Linked DNA regions of Sus scrofa. The protein of the gene in region 1 binds, or shares a complex with, the protein of each later gene. Links are inferred from orthologs where the notes say so. Each region holds a gene or a part of one and is shown on either strand. Other genes may lie near its edges.

What was found. The genes of interacting proteins can lie anywhere in the genome.
Region 2: GATB (region 1) and QRSL1 share a complex: the UniProt entries of both Homo sapiens proteins name them as parts of the heterotrimeric GatCAB amidotransferase (AdT) complex. The link is inferred for Sus scrofa from reciprocal best matches to the Homo sapiens genes GATB and QRSL1.
Region 3: GATB (region 1) and GATC share a complex: the UniProt entries of both Homo sapiens proteins name them as parts of the heterotrimeric GatCAB amidotransferase (AdT) complex. The link is inferred for Sus scrofa from reciprocal best matches to the Homo sapiens genes GATB and GATC.

Annotation. Positions count from the first base shown.
Region 1 is NC_010450.4:77,280,282-77,286,206, reverse strand, and holds part of GATB (glutamyl-tRNA(Gln) amidotransferase subunit B, mitochondrial), read right to left. Parts: intron 5,828-5,925; coding exon 5,714-5,827; intron 3,473-5,713; coding exon 3,388-3,472; intron 2,706-3,387; coding exon 2,661-2,705; intron 357-2,660; coding exon 167-356; intron 1-166. UniProt on the Homo sapiens protein: Allows the formation of correctly charged Gln-tRNA(Gln) through the transamidation of misacylated Glu-tRNA(Gln) in the mitochondria. The reaction takes place in the presence of glutamine and ATP through an activated gamma-phospho-Glu-tRNA(Gln).
Region 2 is NC_010443.5:72,824,411-72,830,335, forward strand, and holds part of QRSL1 (glutamyl-tRNA(Gln) amidotransferase subunit A, mitochondrial), read left to right. Parts: intron 1-3,882; coding exon 3,883-4,059; intron 4,060-5,925. UniProt on the Homo sapiens protein: Allows the formation of correctly charged Gln-tRNA(Gln) through the transamidation of misacylated Glu-tRNA(Gln) in the mitochondria. The reaction takes place in the presence of glutamine and ATP through an activated gamma-phospho-Glu-tRNA(Gln).
Region 3 is NC_010456.5:40,419,174-40,425,098, reverse strand, and holds part of GATC (glutamyl-tRNA(Gln) amidotransferase subunit C, mitochondrial), read right to left. Parts: intron 4,320-5,925; coding exon 4,216-4,319; intron 2,143-4,215; coding exon 2,090-2,142; 3' UTR 1-2,089. UniProt on the Homo sapiens protein: Allows the formation of correctly charged Gln-tRNA(Gln) through the transamidation of misacylated Glu-tRNA(Gln) in the mitochondria. The reaction takes place in the presence of glutamine and ATP through an activated gamma-phospho-Glu-tRNA(Gln).

The DNA.
Region 1 (5,925 bases):
CACACTTCTGGTTTTCGGGGGAGCATCTACCATCAAGGCTGGTGAGGACTGTTGTCACGCCTCGTCCTAGGGGAGGCCAGGAGTGGCTCTAGCCCGACGTCCCCCCACCCCCACCCCAAGCATCCCTAGCTGCTGGGCCAGGCTCACTGCTCTGCTTAGTACCCACCAGCAAGGCAACGCTGTGCTCCGGCAGCATCCCATACTGTCGCACAAGCTTCTCCCGGGTCACGCTGGGCAGCTCGGGGAGCCGCTCCCGGAGCCAGTCGATGTTGATCACCTGCTGCGGGTCGACACCGGCAGGCAGAGACCCCGAGTCATAGAGCAGCAGTGGGGGAAGGTTGGGCTCCGGCATGAACCTGGGTGGAGAGACAGACCTGCCGTCAGCACGAAAGCCTTGGTCCAGATGCCCTTTTACTGGCAAATATTTCCTAACGTCCCATAATAGCAAGTCTTCCGGTTTCCCAGGAACGAGTCCTTGTACAAGGGTAAAGTCCAGGTCGAAAAGCCCAAACCCACTTATTCTCTGCACTTATAAACTAGCATTGAGTGAAAAAGGCACAGCAGAGAACGATGCCACACAGTGATTCGTAATTGTGAGTAAAGTACAGACATTCATAAAGATGGAGGCTGAAAAAATACGACCAGGTAAGAATCTACTTTTTAGGAAAAAGATGACTTCACTCATTTTACAATTTTCACTGGCCTAGCAGTTAAGAACTTGGCATTGTCACTGTTGTGGCTCAGGTCACCACTATGGTGCAGGTTTGAGCCCTGGCCAGGGAACTTTTGTGTGCTGTGGGCAAGGCTGAAAAACACAAAAGAAAAAGGAGTTCCGTTATGGCACAGTGGTTAATAAATCCGACTAGGAACCATGAGGTTGCAGGTTCGATCCATGGCCTTGCTCAGTGGGTTAAGGATCCGGCGTTGCCGTGAGCTGTGGTACAGGTTGCAGATGCGGCGCGGATCCCGCGTTGCTATGGCTCTGGTATAAGCCAGTGGTTACAGCTCCGATGAGACCCCTGGCCTGGGAACCTCCATATGCTGCAGGAAGTGACCCTAGAAAAGGCAAAAAGACCCCCCCCAAAAAAAGAGAGAGAGAGAGAAATTTCTTTCTTGAAAAGTGGAAGAAAAAATGCATTTTGTTTAAATAAAATGTTAGCTGAGGGAAGCACAGGGGATTTTGGAGGCAGTGAAACCATACTGTGTGACACTAATGACGGGTACATGTCATTACACATCTGTCAAAACCCGCAAAATGTGTAACATAGAGAGCAAACCCTGGTGTAAACCATGGACTCTAGTTACTAATAAGCTATCAATACTGGTTCATCAACTTTAACAAATGTACCACGCTTTACCCTAACGCAAGATATTATTAGGGGAAACTGTGTGTGTGGTGGGGGGAAGGGGAGTACATGAAATACACCAAGGAGTATATAGGAACTCTTATGATTTGCCCTCAGTTCTGCTATAAACCTAAAACTGGTCTAAAAAGTCAATTTTTAAAAAAAAAATGTGGAAGCCGCACCACTGCACATGCTCTTCTGAAACAAGGACGTCCTTCCCTTCATTCTCTTCAGCATGTAGAGTTTCTTCTCCACCCACATCTTGTCAAGGAGCTTGTGCAGAAGCTGGATAATGCAGAATAAATGGTGGCCCCAAGGTAACAGATCAGAAGTGCAAGCAACCCACTGCCTCAAAGCCCAATCTGTGCCATGAATCAGTCTGGCTTCTGAAGGCAAGAGGAAACCAAAGGGAGGCTTCCTGAATCCCATCTATTTGCCTGGGGGACTGAGCTGAAGCCACTGGCTGAGTTCAAAAGCCAACTCCATGCTCAGTGAGAAGGCAGCATAAACAGAGCAGGGGCAGCACTGGAGAACAAAGACCTTCTTGGGAAGAAGAGACTGAATTAGAAGATCACAGGAATTAGGACAGTGGTGACTCTGACAGAGGAGTCCTTGAGGAGACGTCACTCTGAGGGTTGAAGAGTTTCCTGGTTCCCACATCACGTGAATGCCATGTGTGCTCCTCACTGACAGCAATGGCTACTCTTACCTCTTCCTGCACTTGATAAAAGAATGTGCTAACCTCTATCACTTTGTTGCTTGAAACTTTAATTTTTGAAGTCTGCTAAACTCCATGGGGAAGAAACAAAAGGTTCACTTGATTTTAAACTAAACCTCATTATTTGCTTTCATTCTGGCTCTCGTATCAAGTCTAGCTTGTTTAAATTAAATCAATTAAATAGCATCACCTGAGATTCAATGGGAACTGTGAATAATACATAAATCTTTCTTCCTTCTTCTCACAGAACCTCAGTGTGTTACTGAATTTGTTAGTGAATAAAATAAGAACAGCCTAGGCTCCACCCCTCACCTGCCACTCTCTCAGCTCAATTATAACAACTGTGACACAGAGGTGAGTGAACATGGCTTTTCCAACCACTGAATCAAGCCAAATAAAGTACTCCATGGCTACCAAATCAAGAAAATATTCACTCAGTATACATATAAAACAGGAAGTCTGGATTTTCCATTATACAGTAACAAGTAAAGTGGTTCCTAAAATATACCCAGGGTCATTATGTTGGTCTATAAGTGGATTTGGAACATGCCCCAACCCCAAATAGTGAAAGGTGTTTTGACAAGAGGAATAACCACCTGTAGTCTTGTTTTCCTTCTTTATCTCTCATCGGCACGGTGCACCTGTGACAGTTAAACAAGAAAACATCAAAAAATGTTGCATGTAGCGTGGGCTAGTGCCTATGCAGACAGGGACTCCCCTACCAAGAGGCGACCCATGAGATTCCAGCTCCTTAGCCTTCTTTGGAAGACACTTATGTGAATACATTTCAGAAAAGATAAGTAAAAAATGTTTAGCATGATAATTAAAAATAAAAAGAAACTGCTTCAATGTTTCCAACATTTAACCAACTCAACTCTAAGCTTTTGAGCTTTTTTCCACTCTGTCTTCGGCTAAGTGGAAAAAATCCTCAAAATCAGACTCAGAAAATTAGACTCAAAGTTATCTCAACAGAAAAAGGCACCTCTACAATCAGCTCTAAGCTGCCTTCCATCTCTAGCTTCAGTTGGCAGAACTAAGGTATGAAAGAATTTAAGGAAGTAAAAGTTCTTGCCCCAAGGAGGAAAGCTGGAAGCCAGGGAAAGGCCAGCCTGAGCAGGTCTGGTTCAGCCAGGTTAAACCTCTTACAAGCCCTAGAGAGTAAATCACCTCTCTGTAGGATACAGTGTTTTTCTAATTTTACTAATGAGGAAACAGAAGGGTGGAGAGGCTACGTCCCTCCTTCAAGGTGACATGGCTGGAGTGTGGCCAGCCCAGGCCACAGCCCCACCTACCTGTGTTCAAGATGCTGCAACACAAACTCACCCCAGCTTGTAATCAAACGAACGAGTTTCATTCAGAATTTCACCTCCATTCTCAAGTTCACTGATTTGCCTCTGAATTTCATAGTCTAAAAAAAAAAATTTGTCGTGTATCATATTTTGATTCCTTTCATCCAGTTAAGCAATAATTAGAATTCTTTTTTCAATCTTTATGTCAAAAAAAAAAAAAAGCTGTTTATGACAATTCTTCCTACATATGCTACATTTTTGTCTTGATGCCATCATAGAATAAAGGTGCTGGAAAGGGCCTTGTATGAAGCTCTGCTCTCTCAATTTTTGAGAAAACTCAGGTACAGAGAGGTTAAGGGACCCAGCGGAGACTACACAACTTGGCGAAAGAAGGGCTCGGACCATTATCTAGGCTGAGTGACTCCAGATCTAGGATTGTTGTTTATCAAGAGTCCTTATCCCAGGACCCATGGACGGGCAAGGGGTCCTGGTACCTTCTGAAACTATATAAAACGTGGTATGTGCATACGCACGTTTTTTGGAAAGAGGGCCCAGAACTATCATCACATTTTCAAAGGGATCTACGACCCCAAATGATTAAGAGCCACTGCTGTGCTCCCTCACCATCAAACAAAGCAGCTGTGGAAAGCAAAACACAGCTATAGCTGCTAAGCTTCTTTATGAAAAGAGCTTTAGCCTCTGTCCTGCTAACTCCCCACCCCAGCACGCACCCCCTTCTCTTGCCCAAATCCACACTCTTAATCTGAGCCGATAAAAAAGCATCAGCACCAGGAGGATGGCTAAAAGGCCTGACAGAGGGAGAAAAAGGAGGTGGAAAAATTCCAGGCTTGGAGGACTAAGTCCATAACAGTAAAGCTGCAGTTGTTCTGGGCCAAGGCAGACCCCAGGGAAAATTCTGTCTCAGGCTTGCTGCTCCAAAGGGGACTTTATAGGACAATAGAAGGTTGGGTTTACCCCGAAACAGGCAGGGTCTCCGTAACTCAAAAGAGATGAATCTACCTAAAACCTTATTTGGTTTTTAAGGTTACCATCTCCTCTCAGAATAATGAGGTGGAGAACATGCACCACCTACAAGGTGAGATGGAACTTTCTTCCGTTCTTCCCAAGCTTCGCCTTCACGAACCTGGGCCGGAAGGGTTTTCACAGCCTCAGAAACATGGACTGCATCTCCTTTGATGGACAGAGTCCACCCTCTTTAATCTGTCTTCACACGGGAGTCTCCCTCAGACACCTTCCCTTCCTGTAAGTTATTCCCTTGGCCAAATTCATGCAGTTTTCCTGAAACTTGGCAGACTCGGAGTGTCTTCACTGAGGATGGTTGATCATTTCAGGTTCAGGAGAATAAGGTTTTATACAAGACTAGAAAATCTTTTTTTGTGCTATTTTGAATACTTTCTTGACAAGACCCAGGACTCTACTAAGCCTTCTGCCTGTGATGACACATCCGTGTGGGCCATGTTCTGTGCACCTTGCAGGGTGTGCTTCAGACTCCACCCCTCCTTCCTGCCTCTCTTTCTCTCTAGAGACCTCTGGTTTTCAAGAATATTTTCATTCCTGAGATGTCTTCCTCTCACATTCACAGGCATCAACTTCTACGGACCGCCCCCAGATGTTGATCTTACCCAGCTGTTCTAGTTTAATTATTGGTATATGCTTGACAACATGGAAATATCCACAGCATGTTCTCCAATAAGACCAATACTTGACTGCACAGGCCCAATCTATTAGTTAAAACAGTAAAAAGCAGAAAAGCATACTGACCACTTAGGTCAAGTGGTGGCCAATCTAAAATGAACAAAGAGGACTTCACTCAATTCAGGCTGGTCAGAAGGAACATGGTATGTGGAAAACAGAGTTGTGGGATTTTGCAGATCCTTTCATAGAGGTGACGTCTGTTTCACCTCACTTGAATCTGCTTTGAATGCAATGTGCTGAAAGAGATCCTGCAAGTTCTAAAACTAAGGACTCAAGAGGCCTCGAGGCGTCTGCCTTCATCCTCCTGGCATGACCCCTCCACCAAATAAGGCCATGGCTCAGCAAATGAAGGAAGAGAGCCCATGTGGGTAAAGAAGCCTGGTGGGCACCCAGCACCAATGTCCCAACATGGGGGTGAGGTCATCTTGGACTCTTTGTCTGAGCTGAGTTGCTGGCTCCCCACAGCCACACTCATCACACTCTTTCCACTGAGGAAGGGCAGCAGAAAACCCACTCAACCCATAGAACTGTGAAAGTGGAAATGTTACTGTGGGAACCATTAAGTTTGATGGACAGGGATGCTTGTTACACAGCAACAGATAACGGATACAAGGAGGTACATGGGAATAACAGCTGATATTCACCTATAGCTTTGGCCAAAAACCTGGCACTGTTGAGATTCTTCACTTCAGTTCGAATGCCCAAAGGCTCCCCAGGGTGATGCACAGATATATTGGCATCCACTCTCAACTGGCCCTCTGGAAGGAGAGAAAGAAGACACTTCAGACTTGCTGAGGCAATGAGGTCTTTTGAAGGCAAGAGATTGCAGAGTTCCCATGGTGGCTCAGGGATAACA
Region 2 (5,925 bases), on another chromosome or scaffold:
AAACATCATGTATTTATTTTGCTACCCATGTATCTTTGGTGAAGTTTCTATTCAAATCTTTGCGCTTTTTAAAAAAACCGGGTTGTCCCAATTAGTATCCATGAGGACACAGGTTCAATCCCTGGCCTCGATCAGTGGGTTAAGGATACGGCATTGCCATGAGCTGTGGTGTAGTTCACAGACACGGCTCAGATCTGGCATTGCTGTGGCTGTGGTGTAGGCTGGCAGCTGCAGCTCTGATGTAACCCCTAGCCTGGGAACCTCCATATGCAGCCCTAAAAAGACAAAGAAAAAAAATTTTTTTAATTGGGTTGTTTTATTGAGTCGTAAGAGTTTTTTTTCATATATTCCGGATTCAAATTCAATGTCAGATCATTTGCAAATATATTCTGAGTCTCTGGCTTGTCTTTGCATTCTCCAAATATGCCTTTCAAACAGTACAAGCTTTGGAGTTCCCGTCGTGGCGCAGTGGTTAACGAATCCAACTAGGAACCATGAGGTTGCGGGTTCGGTCCCTGCGCTTGCTCAGTGGGTTAACGATCCGGCGTTGCCGTGAGCTGTGGTGTAGGTTGCAGAAGCGGCTCGGATCCCGAGTTGCTGTGGCTCTGGCATAGGCCAGTGGCTACAGCTCCGAATAGACCCCTAGCCTGGGAACCTCCATATGCCACAGGAGCGGCCCAAAGAAACAGCAAAAAGACAAACAAACAAACAAAAACAAACAAACAAACAAAAAAATACAGTACAAGCTTTTAATATCCTGTTCCTCATTTTCTTTAATGACTTGATGTTTTTTGTGTCTTATCAAAGAAATCTTTCCCTTTCCTTTCCTCAAAGTCATAAAGATTTTTTTTTCCATGTTTCTCCTAGAAGTTTTACAGTTTTAGTTCTTATATTTAGACTTGTGTTCCATTTGAGTTAATTTTTCATATATGATGTGAAGAAAGCCGAAGTTCTCTCTCTCTTTTTTTTTTTTTTTTTTTTTTTTAACATATGTCTGTCCTGTAGATCTGGGACTATTTGTATAAAAATTCAAATTAAATTACTTTGATTCCTTTGTGAAAAAATCAATTGAACACTTTTTTTAGTATTATAGAAAATGGTATTTTTTTCAGTTTCTAATTGTTTATTTCTAATATATAGGAATGTAATTGACTTTTCTATGTTGACCTTTTATTTTTATCCTGTGACCTTGGTAAGCTCACTTATTAATTCTGGTTGGGCTTTGTATAGATTGTTTGGTATATTTTATATAGGTGAGCATGTAGTCTGCAAATAGAGACAGTTTTATTTCTTTTTCTAGCCTTTTTGCACCAGTTAGGACTTTTAGTACAATATTGAATATTAAGTGGTAAGATCAAATATCCTTGCCTTGTTCCTAATCATGGAGGAAAGCATTTAGTCTTTCATCAAAAGCATTTTATTTCCCCTTTTATAACATTTGTCACACTTGTAATATTAGTTTGGTCTGTGTTTCCTGTTTCATACAAGCAGATTCCTTCACTCTCTTATTTACAGTGGCATCTCTTAGTAATTAGTAAACATATGTTGAATGAATTAATCTGGAAGTAAACGTGAACATAGGTTTTTAGGACATTACCTTGAACAGCTGATCAAAATGAACATCACTAGTGAGAGTAGAGCAATACCGTGTACTTCCAGATGTGATTCTCTGAGAAGGAATCACCTATGCAATATTCCAGCTGAGAATGTATTCCAGCTCATAATGAGGAAACAAACAATAAATCTGAAAGGAGAAACATTCTATTAAAATCTCAATATCATAAAAACAAAGAAAGACTGTGAAAATGTTCCAGGCTAAAGGAGGCTAAAGAAAGTAAAACCTATAACTTAAGAAAACATAGGAGAAAATCTTTCTGACCCTGAATAATGCCGAAATTTCTTATATGGGACACATAAAGTACATTCTATAAAATTAAAAATCAGTAAATTGGATTTCCTTAAAATTAAGAGCTGTACTTTGAAATACAGTGTTAAAAATGGAAAAACAAGCCATAGACTGGGAAAAAATATTTGCAAAACACATGTCTGAGAAAGAATTGGGATCCAGTATATGTAGAAACTTTCCCAAATCAAAACAACCCAATTAAAAAAAAAAAAAGAGTAAAAGTTATAAACAACTTCTGAAATTGTATGTCAAAGAAAGTAATACAATTGGCAAAAAGAAAAATCAAAAAATACTTAATGTGGTTAGTCACTCAAGAAATGCAAATTAAAACCACAATAAAGTATATACATGTGAGTTAGAATGGCTTTAAAAATGACAATATCAGAGTTCCCGTCATGGCGCAGTGGTTAACGAATCCGACTAGGAACCATGAGGTTGCAGGTTCGATCCCTGGCCTTGCTCAGTGGGTTAAGGATCGGGCATTGCCGTGAGCTATGGTGTAGGTGGCAGACGTGGCTCAGATCCCAGATCCCACATTGCCGTGGCTCTGGTGTAGGCCAGTGGCTACAGCTCCGGTTAGACCCCTAGCCTGGGAACCTCCATATGCTGTGGGAGCAGCCCTAGAAAAAGCAATAAGACCAAAAAAAAAAAAAAAAAAAAAAAAGAAGAAGACAATATCAAGTGCTGACCAGGATGCAGAACAATTGGTCTTCTCATACAGCACTGGTATGAAATGCAAAATGGTGTAGCCATTTGGAAAACAGTTTAGCAGTTTCTTATAAAATTAAACATACATTTACCCTAAGACCCAACATTCTCAATCCTGGGTATTCACCCAAGAGATGAAGGTTTATGTTTACACTAAAGCATGGGCTCCAGCCCTTCAGTACAGTATTTATTGTGGCTTTATTCAAATTGCTAAAAACAGGAAATAATGCAAATTCATAGACTGGTGAAAAAAGTAAAAAGAGAGAGTAAAGAGACAAGGATAACTAATACCATTCCTGACTCTTGATTTGATCCTGTACTAAAAGGAGGTAAAGTTCTATAAAGGACAGTATTGGATCAACTGACAAAATTGGATTACATGTAGTAGGTTCAATAAAAATATTGTATTGCTGTTAAATTTACTGAGGTGACTATACTGTAATTGTGTAAGAGAATACCAAAGGGTCTTTGGACATGCATACTGAATTCATACTAAAGTATTTAGGGGTAAAGGGCCATAGTATATATTATTTAACCTTAAGTAGTTCAGGGAAAAAATGTATAGATACACACACAGAGCACAAAAATGATAAAACAAATGGGGTAAAATGTAAACAGTAGGTGAACCAGGGTAAAGGCTATGAAGTTTTTTCATACTATTTTTTATTTCTGTAATTTATCTGTAAGGTTGACATTTTTTCAAAATTAAAAAAAAGTTATTAGCATTCCACTAAGAATGCTTCTCAAAACTTCTGCTAAAGAGGAATTCCTTCAAAAGCCTACTTATTGGCATTCTCTTTGGCGCCGCAGGTTAAGGATTTAACACTGTTACTGCAGTGGCTTGGGTTGCTGCTGTAGCATGGGTTTGATCCCTGGCTCGGGAATTTCCCCATACTGTGGGCATGGCCAAAAATAAAAAAAAAGTCTTGTTAACTATTTGAATGTTTGTGACACACTTCAACTGGAAAACCTTAATTTATAAAGGAAATCATCCTAAGCTGAATTAGATAATCAATTTGGATAAATATCTTCTCTTAGCAGACCAGTTTTTTCCTACTTTTTATCACAAATCTCTTACTTCCCATCCTTCACCTCCTCAACCATCTAATTAAAGAAAGTGACATCTAAATAGGCTTCCTGCCTTTTCACGTCCAATTTATAATCAAAGTGGATTATACAGCATCAAAAGCAAATAATATAACCAGGAGATGGAAATTTCACACAAAATGAGCTTTAGTAAGAGATCTTGCTTCACTTCTTCATCTCAGATCTGGAAGCACAGATGGCATATTTGGACCGGTTAAAAACCCCTGGAGTTACTCAAAACAGTACAGAGGAAAGAAGCAGCAGAAGACTCATGGTGAGGATGAGGATTCAAACTGGCTTATAACTGGAGGAAGCTCAGGTGGTAGCGCAGCGGCCGTGTCAGCGTTCACCTGCTTTGCGTAAGATGTTTTTTCTATCTGTACTTTAAAACCCAACTCAATACAGTCATAAGCCATACACAAAACCAACAGTTGAGTCCTTCAGACCTTGCTATTTTTATTTCTCTTTAGTGAGCTCTTTGTGCTCAATGATAACATCAAAATTATATCTTATAATTATACTCAACTGTATGGTACACCTGTGTTTTATACATTTAACCTTAAGACAACATTTAAACTCTTCCTCTCTAGTGTCCAGTCCTCTTAAAAACATAATTTTTGTGGATCTTACAGAATAAACCAGTTGACTTAAATAGACATTGAATTTCATTTTTTAAATCATTTATCTCTGACTGTGGAGATATTTAGGGACATCTTGGCTTTGGTGGAATGCTGCTGAGCTAAATTCTTAGCTATGGTTTATCCTTCAGCTAAATCCAATTTTTGCAACAACAAAAAAAAAAGAAGATGCTCCTAATATATATCAATAGACTATTTTAAATAGTGTGTTTTATAAATCTGCAACTAAAAATGTCTATCAGTAAGTAAAGGTTTTTCTAATTTGTAGGGAGGCGATTTGTTCAACTGTCAAACTTTGTATTTGGAAAGAATCCATCAGTCATGCTTTATGTCTTAAGTCTCACTTGTAAAGCATTTCTTAACCATCTAAAGAAAAGTAAATAAATATTGCTGTTATTATGTGTTTATTTTATTGGTCTCAATTTAACCAAATAGAAAGTTTTCTTTTGTAGTACTATATTTTATTTCCACTTAATTATCCACTGAAACCAAGCTTTTTGCAGGCATTGCAGTCAATAAGTTATTTATACATTTTAGAGCTATGGAGATTTAGATTCTACAGTTTTTTTTATAGTTTTCCTAAAATCTTGTTAACAAGTAAAACCATTTCATTTTATCTCTATGGAATTTTATAGTACCATATTAATATTAATGAGAGTTCTGACAAGTTAGAGTTGCAAGATGAGGTGTATTTTTTTTCCATCCCCATCACCCCACTTAGTGTTATCTTTTCCTAATATGCTTTGAGAAGATGGCATTTTGACACATAATTCCTATGGAAATGTGGGTTTTACTTTTACACAGCCGTCAGGGAATCCTAATAAGAAAACGTGTCTTTTTAGAAATTGGGAAAGCAGCAGTCTGATTTTGTAGCTTAAGTGGACTGGGTAACAACGGCAGTCTATGATACATTTTCTGTAGAGCACAAGGGCTACGTGATAGGTAGGAGCCTTGTTCAGTCCAAAGCTTCACTCTGGGTGTTATCATGAGAAGCACAGGAGTTCCCGCTGTGGCTCAGTGGAAACAATCTGACTAGTATCCATTGAGGGCAAAGGTTCAATCCCTGACCTCCCTTAGTGGGTTAAGGATCCAGCATTGCCATGAGCTGTGATGTAGGTCGCCAACATGGCTTGGATCCCGAGTTGCTCTGGCTGTGGTGTAGGCCAGCAGCTACAGCTCCTGGGAACCTCCATATGCCATGGGTGCAGCCCTAAAGACAAAAAAAAAGAGAGAGAGAGGCACAGACCCAGAGAAACTCCAGGTTCAGTGGATCTCAAACTGACAAGTATTCTGCTTGATTTTTCCCCCTTTGGATTTGTTTCTTTTATATATAAGTAGTTTTTAAAACAGGAAGATTCTAGGAGTACTATGCAGCCACTAAAAAGAATGAGTTAGAGTGTCATGTGGTGGCATGGAAAGAAGTCCAAGATACACTATAAAGTGGAAAACAAGTTGCAGAACAGTATGTATAGTATGACCTTATTTCTGTTAAAAGTAATAATTATATATGTATATATGTTAGTTGTATGGAAATGTCTGGTTGAATGTATATCAAAATTGATAACAAGATTATTATGGGGCAGTGAT
Region 3 (5,925 bases), on another chromosome or scaffold:
TATTTTAAACGTTTAGTAATTGATGTGTGTGGTTGTCTTTGATTAAGTTCATAGTTTTCACCAAAGAGGCACACTGATAAATTAAAACAAAAAAATCAGAGTTCCTTGGTGGTGCACTGGGTTAAGGATCTGGTGTTGTCACTGCTGTTCCTGACCCTGGATCTTTTGTACGCCATGGGTACAGCCGAAAAAAAAAAAACCACCCCAAAATCTTTCAGTTGTAGTGGCAACTTGTACCCAACTGGTAAAGAGCAGAAGTGGATTACTGTATTTGGGAATAAAGGTAGTTGCTCTGATAGTGGTTTGAGAACTTCAATCCCAAGGGTAGATTCAGGGTTTTCTTATAATTCAAGGCTAATTGTGTAAATTAAGCTGCTTTAAAGAAAAGGGGAGGAATTCCCTCTGTGGCAAAGTGGGTTAAAAATCTGACTGCAGTAGTTTGGGTTGCTGTGGAGGCAAGGGTTTGATCCCTGGCCTGGCGCAGTGGGTTAAGGATCCAGCATTGCCACCACTGTGGCAGGGATCAAATCCAGCTGTGGCATAGGTCATCACTGTGGCTTAGATTTGATCCCTGGTCCAAGAACTTTCATATGTTCCATGGGTCTGGCAAAAAAAGGAAAAGGGGAGCATTGCAGATAAGAGAAGGGAGTGGGGAGGCTTTTTATTTTTGTTTACTTTGCTTTTTTAGGGCCATACCCGTGGCATATGGAGGTTCCCAGGCTAAGGGTCAAATCGGAGCTACAACTTCCAGCCTACCCCACAGCTTCAGCAACACAGGATCCAAGCTGTGTCTGCAACCTTCACCACAGCTCACGGCAACACCAGATCCTTAAGCCCCTGAGCGAGGCCAGGGATCGAACCCATTCCTAGTAAGATTCATTTCCGATGTGCCACGACAGGAACTCCAGGAAGGCTTTTTTAAGTGGGCACCAGCATAAAGATCATCGGGAAATTCTTACCCAAAACCAACTTTGGCAGTTGGTTAGAAAAAAAAAAAAATCTCTTAAGTTTTGGTTCTATCACTTTCATTCCTAAATTTGTCTCATTTGTCCTTGGTATCTGAGCTTTAAAAAACAAAACGTGGAGTTCCCATCATGGCTCACTGGTAACAAACCTTACTTATATTCATTGAAGACGTGGGTTCCATCCCTGGTCTCACTCAGTGGGTTGCCATGAGCTGTGATGTAGGTCGCAGATGTGGCACAGATCCCACATTTCTGTGGCTGTAGTATAGCCTGGCAGCTACAGCTCTGATTCAACCACTAGCCTGGGAACTATGCCCTGGGTGCAGCCTTAAAAAGACAAAAAATAAACAAACCCAGAACAAAAAAAAATCCCCACTATCTTGGATTCTGCTTAAGTTCAGTAATCATGGAACTGGGGGCCTACTCTGTTGCAGGCCCAGGGCTACATTAAAAAAAAAAAAAAAAAAAAAAAAAAAAAAAAAACACTTTATTGAAATATAATTATCTGTAAAATGCTGTACTTATTTAATGTATACAATTCAATGAGTTTGGGGTTAAGTATACTGGTATGAAATCACAACCATGAAGGCCATATACATATCTATCACCTACCTCCTAAAGCTGCCTCCCTACTCCTTTAACCTCAGCAGAAAGTCAGCCCTCTGCTTGGAAGAAGGTGGGTACCCTGGAACAAATTTAAGTATGTTCAGTAAAAGTAAAAGGCTGCTCAAGTTGACAGTCTGAAAAGGATAGCTCAGGCTGTCAACACAGTGATCAGATGCAGTGTCTAACAGTTACATAAACAAAAAAGGTCACTTTAAGTACAGCTTGGTAGACAGTCTTTTGAGGGAAGGGATCAAGCTATCCATACTTAATGGCCTGTGAGTAAATACTTGATCCATTTCCTTGGAAATCGGCAATACCTTCTACTTCCACTGGCATCAGGAACTCTTTGGCTAGATCTTTCCCAAGTCGGTCTTCAGAAGAGTCACTTACTAAAAAATGCCTAACCATCAATTTTTTTTCCAGGTGACTGAAGGAAGTGGGAATATTTGCGTTCATAATAACAAAATACTGTTGTTGTCCTTCCAATGTTCATAGAACACTCCTTCCCAGAAGAGTACTCAGCGGAATGAGAAGGGCTCTTTTTCATCCAGCTTTGACCAAGAGATATTACCTGTTTGAAAACAATAACAAAAAGGAATTTTTAGTTAAGCCTGCTTCCCAACCGGCTCTACACTGAGCTAACTTACCACATGGTTTGTCATGAAAAATAAGCAATATAAATAAGTGTAGTTATTAAGCTTTAAGAACCATGGTTCACAGATACTTTTTTTTACTCTGAATATATATATTTTTTTTAATTGAAGTACAGTTGATTTACAGTGTTGTGTTAGTTTTTTTGAGTGCACATTTTCAGTAAGTAGCAGATAGTTTAATTTGTCATTTTTTATGCATGCATATGGGAGAGGAAAGAGAGATTATGATTGTAAACTCAGTTTGTCCCAAGACACAAATTTTTCTTTTTGGAGTTCCTGTCATGGCTCAGTGGTTAAGAACCAGACTAGCATCCATAAGGACGCAGGTTGGATCCCTGGCCTCGCTTAGTGGCTTAAGGATCAGAGTTGCTGAGCTGTGGTGTAGGTGGCAGACGTGGCTCGGATCTGGCGTTGCTGTGGCTGTGGTGTAGGCCGGCAGCTACAGCTCCGATTGGACCCCTAGCCTAGGAACTCCATATGCTGAGGGTGCTGCCCAAAAAGACAAAAAGAAGAAAAAAGAAAAAATTTTTTTCTTTTTAATGGCTGCACCAGAAGCATATGGAAGTTCCCAGGCTAGGGACTGAATCCCAGCTGCACCTGCAACTGGGTCCTTTAACCCACTGTGCTGCTGGGCCAGGGATCAAAACCCATACTGCTGCAGTCAGCTTCTTAACTCACTGCACCACAGCAGGAACTCCCCAAGATGCATATTCTGACACAAGGTTCTATTTGAGAAATAGCATGTGTGATCAACAGATACGTCTGCTGAAATGGCAACAACTATCAGAATGAGTTGAGAGATTATAAAATCTTATTTCTCTGCACAATTAACTAAAGTGGTTTAGTTAATAAGAGGCATGATTAAGAGTTAAGCACACGTATCTTTTAGGTTTCCTTCCCATCCTTGCTTCAACCAGAGCTTTCCTTTAACTGGTTGGTCTTGATCAAAGAGAGAATTCCTGAGCTAGAGGGCTGATGTGTATCTCTGGAGGCTTCTCAGGATGGTTCTCCTCTGAAGAACTTGAAGTTGGCACTTGGAAAGCCATCTACCTGGAGTGGTTAGTCCCATCCCCAAATGTCCAGAGGGATGCAGTAGCTCTGAGGACTCACCCATCAACAGTTCAAACCACCTAAGGTTCTGGGTTTTATTACTGGCCCAGGGTTATTTTAAAGTTTCCACTTAAAATATCTGTAGGAGCTCCTGCTGTGGCATAATGTGATCAGTGGCCTTTTTGGGAGCAGTGGGATGCAGGTTCGATCCCCAGCCCGGCACAGTGGGTTAAGGATCTGGCGTTGCAGCTCAGATCTGATCCCTGGCCTGGGAGCTCCATGTGCCTTGGGGTAGCCAAAAATGAAAAAATAAAAACTAATAGTTACAGAGAAATTTAAACATGCAAATCTCTACACTAGGATATGCAAATTGATGATTCACAGGCAGTGTCTAGCTTGCAGGTATGTTTTATTTGCAAGGTATTTTATTTTTTAAAATCTTGAATTAGTTATCATACACTTAAAATAGCACACAAAATGCCAGATGTCCAGGTTCTCTGAGAAAATGGGCTCCCATTCCTGGTTTGTTTGTTGTTTCCAGTTTTATTGAGATATAATCGACAGGTAAAATATAATTGACATGTGACATTGTATAAGTTTAAGGCATACAACACAATGATTTGATATATGTATATATTGCAAAATGGTTACTATAAGATTAATTAACATCTATCATCTCACATAGTTACAGTTTCTTCTCTTGTGATGAGAACTTTTAATGTCTACTCTTAGCAACTTTCAGATATTCAGTATTGTTAACTATATAGTCCCGACATTACATCCCCAGGACTTACTTCACTTATAACTGGAAGCTTATACCTTTTGACTACCTTCATCTATTGCTACTTTATACTTTTTAAAGTGCTTTCACATAGACAATCTGGGTTATATTCTTAGTTTACTGTGGGACAGTCTGTGAAGCCATTCTGGGCAACACATACCTGGGGGGGCCACAAAATACTCCTCCACAACTCGATGGGAGTTTTGTAGTAGTTCTTCAGCACAGTTGCCTTCTACCACATTGTCGGATCTCAGGTACAGACATCTACAAAACCAGAAGTTTAAGGTTACCTTCTCAGAACAGGGCTTCTATGGTAAGGTAGAGAGGGTCGAGAAGGAGAAAAAGGAGCAGCACATTGGGTTAGAGTAACTGCTCAAAGATGGAGGCACTGTGGTCAGTGGTAGAGCAAATAACAGTATAGTTTACAGATTCTCCCAACAACCCTGTGAGGTAAGTAGTAATTATTCCTTAGGATTGATATGTTTAATAAATATTTTTTGCTGATTACTATGTGTAAGTCGCTTTTGGTGGAGATAGGTAAAAGTCAGTTAAATCTTAAGAGGTAAGCAGTGCTTGCCAAGGGAATTGAAAAGGGAACCTAACCCAGCCTGGGTGAGGAATATGTATTCAGAATAGGTAATATTATTCCTTTGCCACAGTTAAGAAATAGCTGGATTGGGTGGATGGAAATGGACTTCCAGGCAGGTGCAGAAACTTGCTCAAAAGTGGTTATAAATGACTTAAGCTCCTAAGTGACAGGCCTGGGAACCAACTCTGGTTCCCCTAAGATGAGTGCTTTTTCCATTGCAGCCACCTTTGTGGATATAAGTACCTGCCCTTGTAAGATGTACCACAAACACAGCTTAAGAATCTTCTTAGTGCCTAATAGTTTTATTAAAGTATCCAGATGGCAAACTAGTGAAACTGAACAGAAGTTGGACACATCTGTGGGGCCTTACTACTGTTCTAAGGTTTCAAAGTGCATGACAGGAAGTTCCCATTGCGGCTTGGCAGTAACAAGCCCAACTAGTATCCATGAGGACACGGGTTTGATTCCTGGCCTTGCTCAGTGGGTTAAGGATCTGGCATTGCTGGGAGCTGTGGTGTAGGTCACAGATGCGGCTCAGATCCTACGTTGCTGTGGCTGTGGTGTAGGCCAGAAGCTGTAGCTCTGATTTTGACCCCTAGCCTGGGAACCTCCACAAGCAGCTAGTGTGGCCCCTAAAAAGCAAAAACAAAAACAGAAACAAAAAACAAAAGTGTGTGACAGGAGGCTTGAGCCTGCTTCCAGATACTTGGGCTGAAAAATAAGCAGTCTGCTAAATCACTGATGGGGAGCAGCCAGTGTCTTTCTGCTTTGAGCCAGACAAGCTGAGGGCTCAACCTAATAGGACAGTGGGGCAAGGATGTGACATGAACATCTGCGTAGAGGCTGCATAGAGGGCCAAGTTGTAATGTTAAGATTCTTTTAGGAAAGGATTGGTTCTGTTTTCTTTGGGGCACCCAGCCTAGGACGAGACACAATAAACATGTATTCAAATGGTGCTAAGAGTGGACAGTTGGAGTTTATTCCAGGAGCTGGCACTGTCTTAAATGTGTTGCCCTAAACAAGTATGATCTTCTAGACCTTCAGTTTCTTGCCAAAAAAGTGAATGTTGTACTTGATTTTTTCTTTTTAACCATATGAGGTTATGGACTCATACTCATTTAAGGAAACCTGGAGAACAAAAATAAAAATCATCTATGAAGGTAACTATTGGACTTTATATTTCTGTTGGGCAACATAGCAAAAATGGCAAAGAACTTAGGCTCCTGAATCATTGCTGAATCCAAACCCCAGAGCCACAACGTGGCCTGTATGCAAGTTACT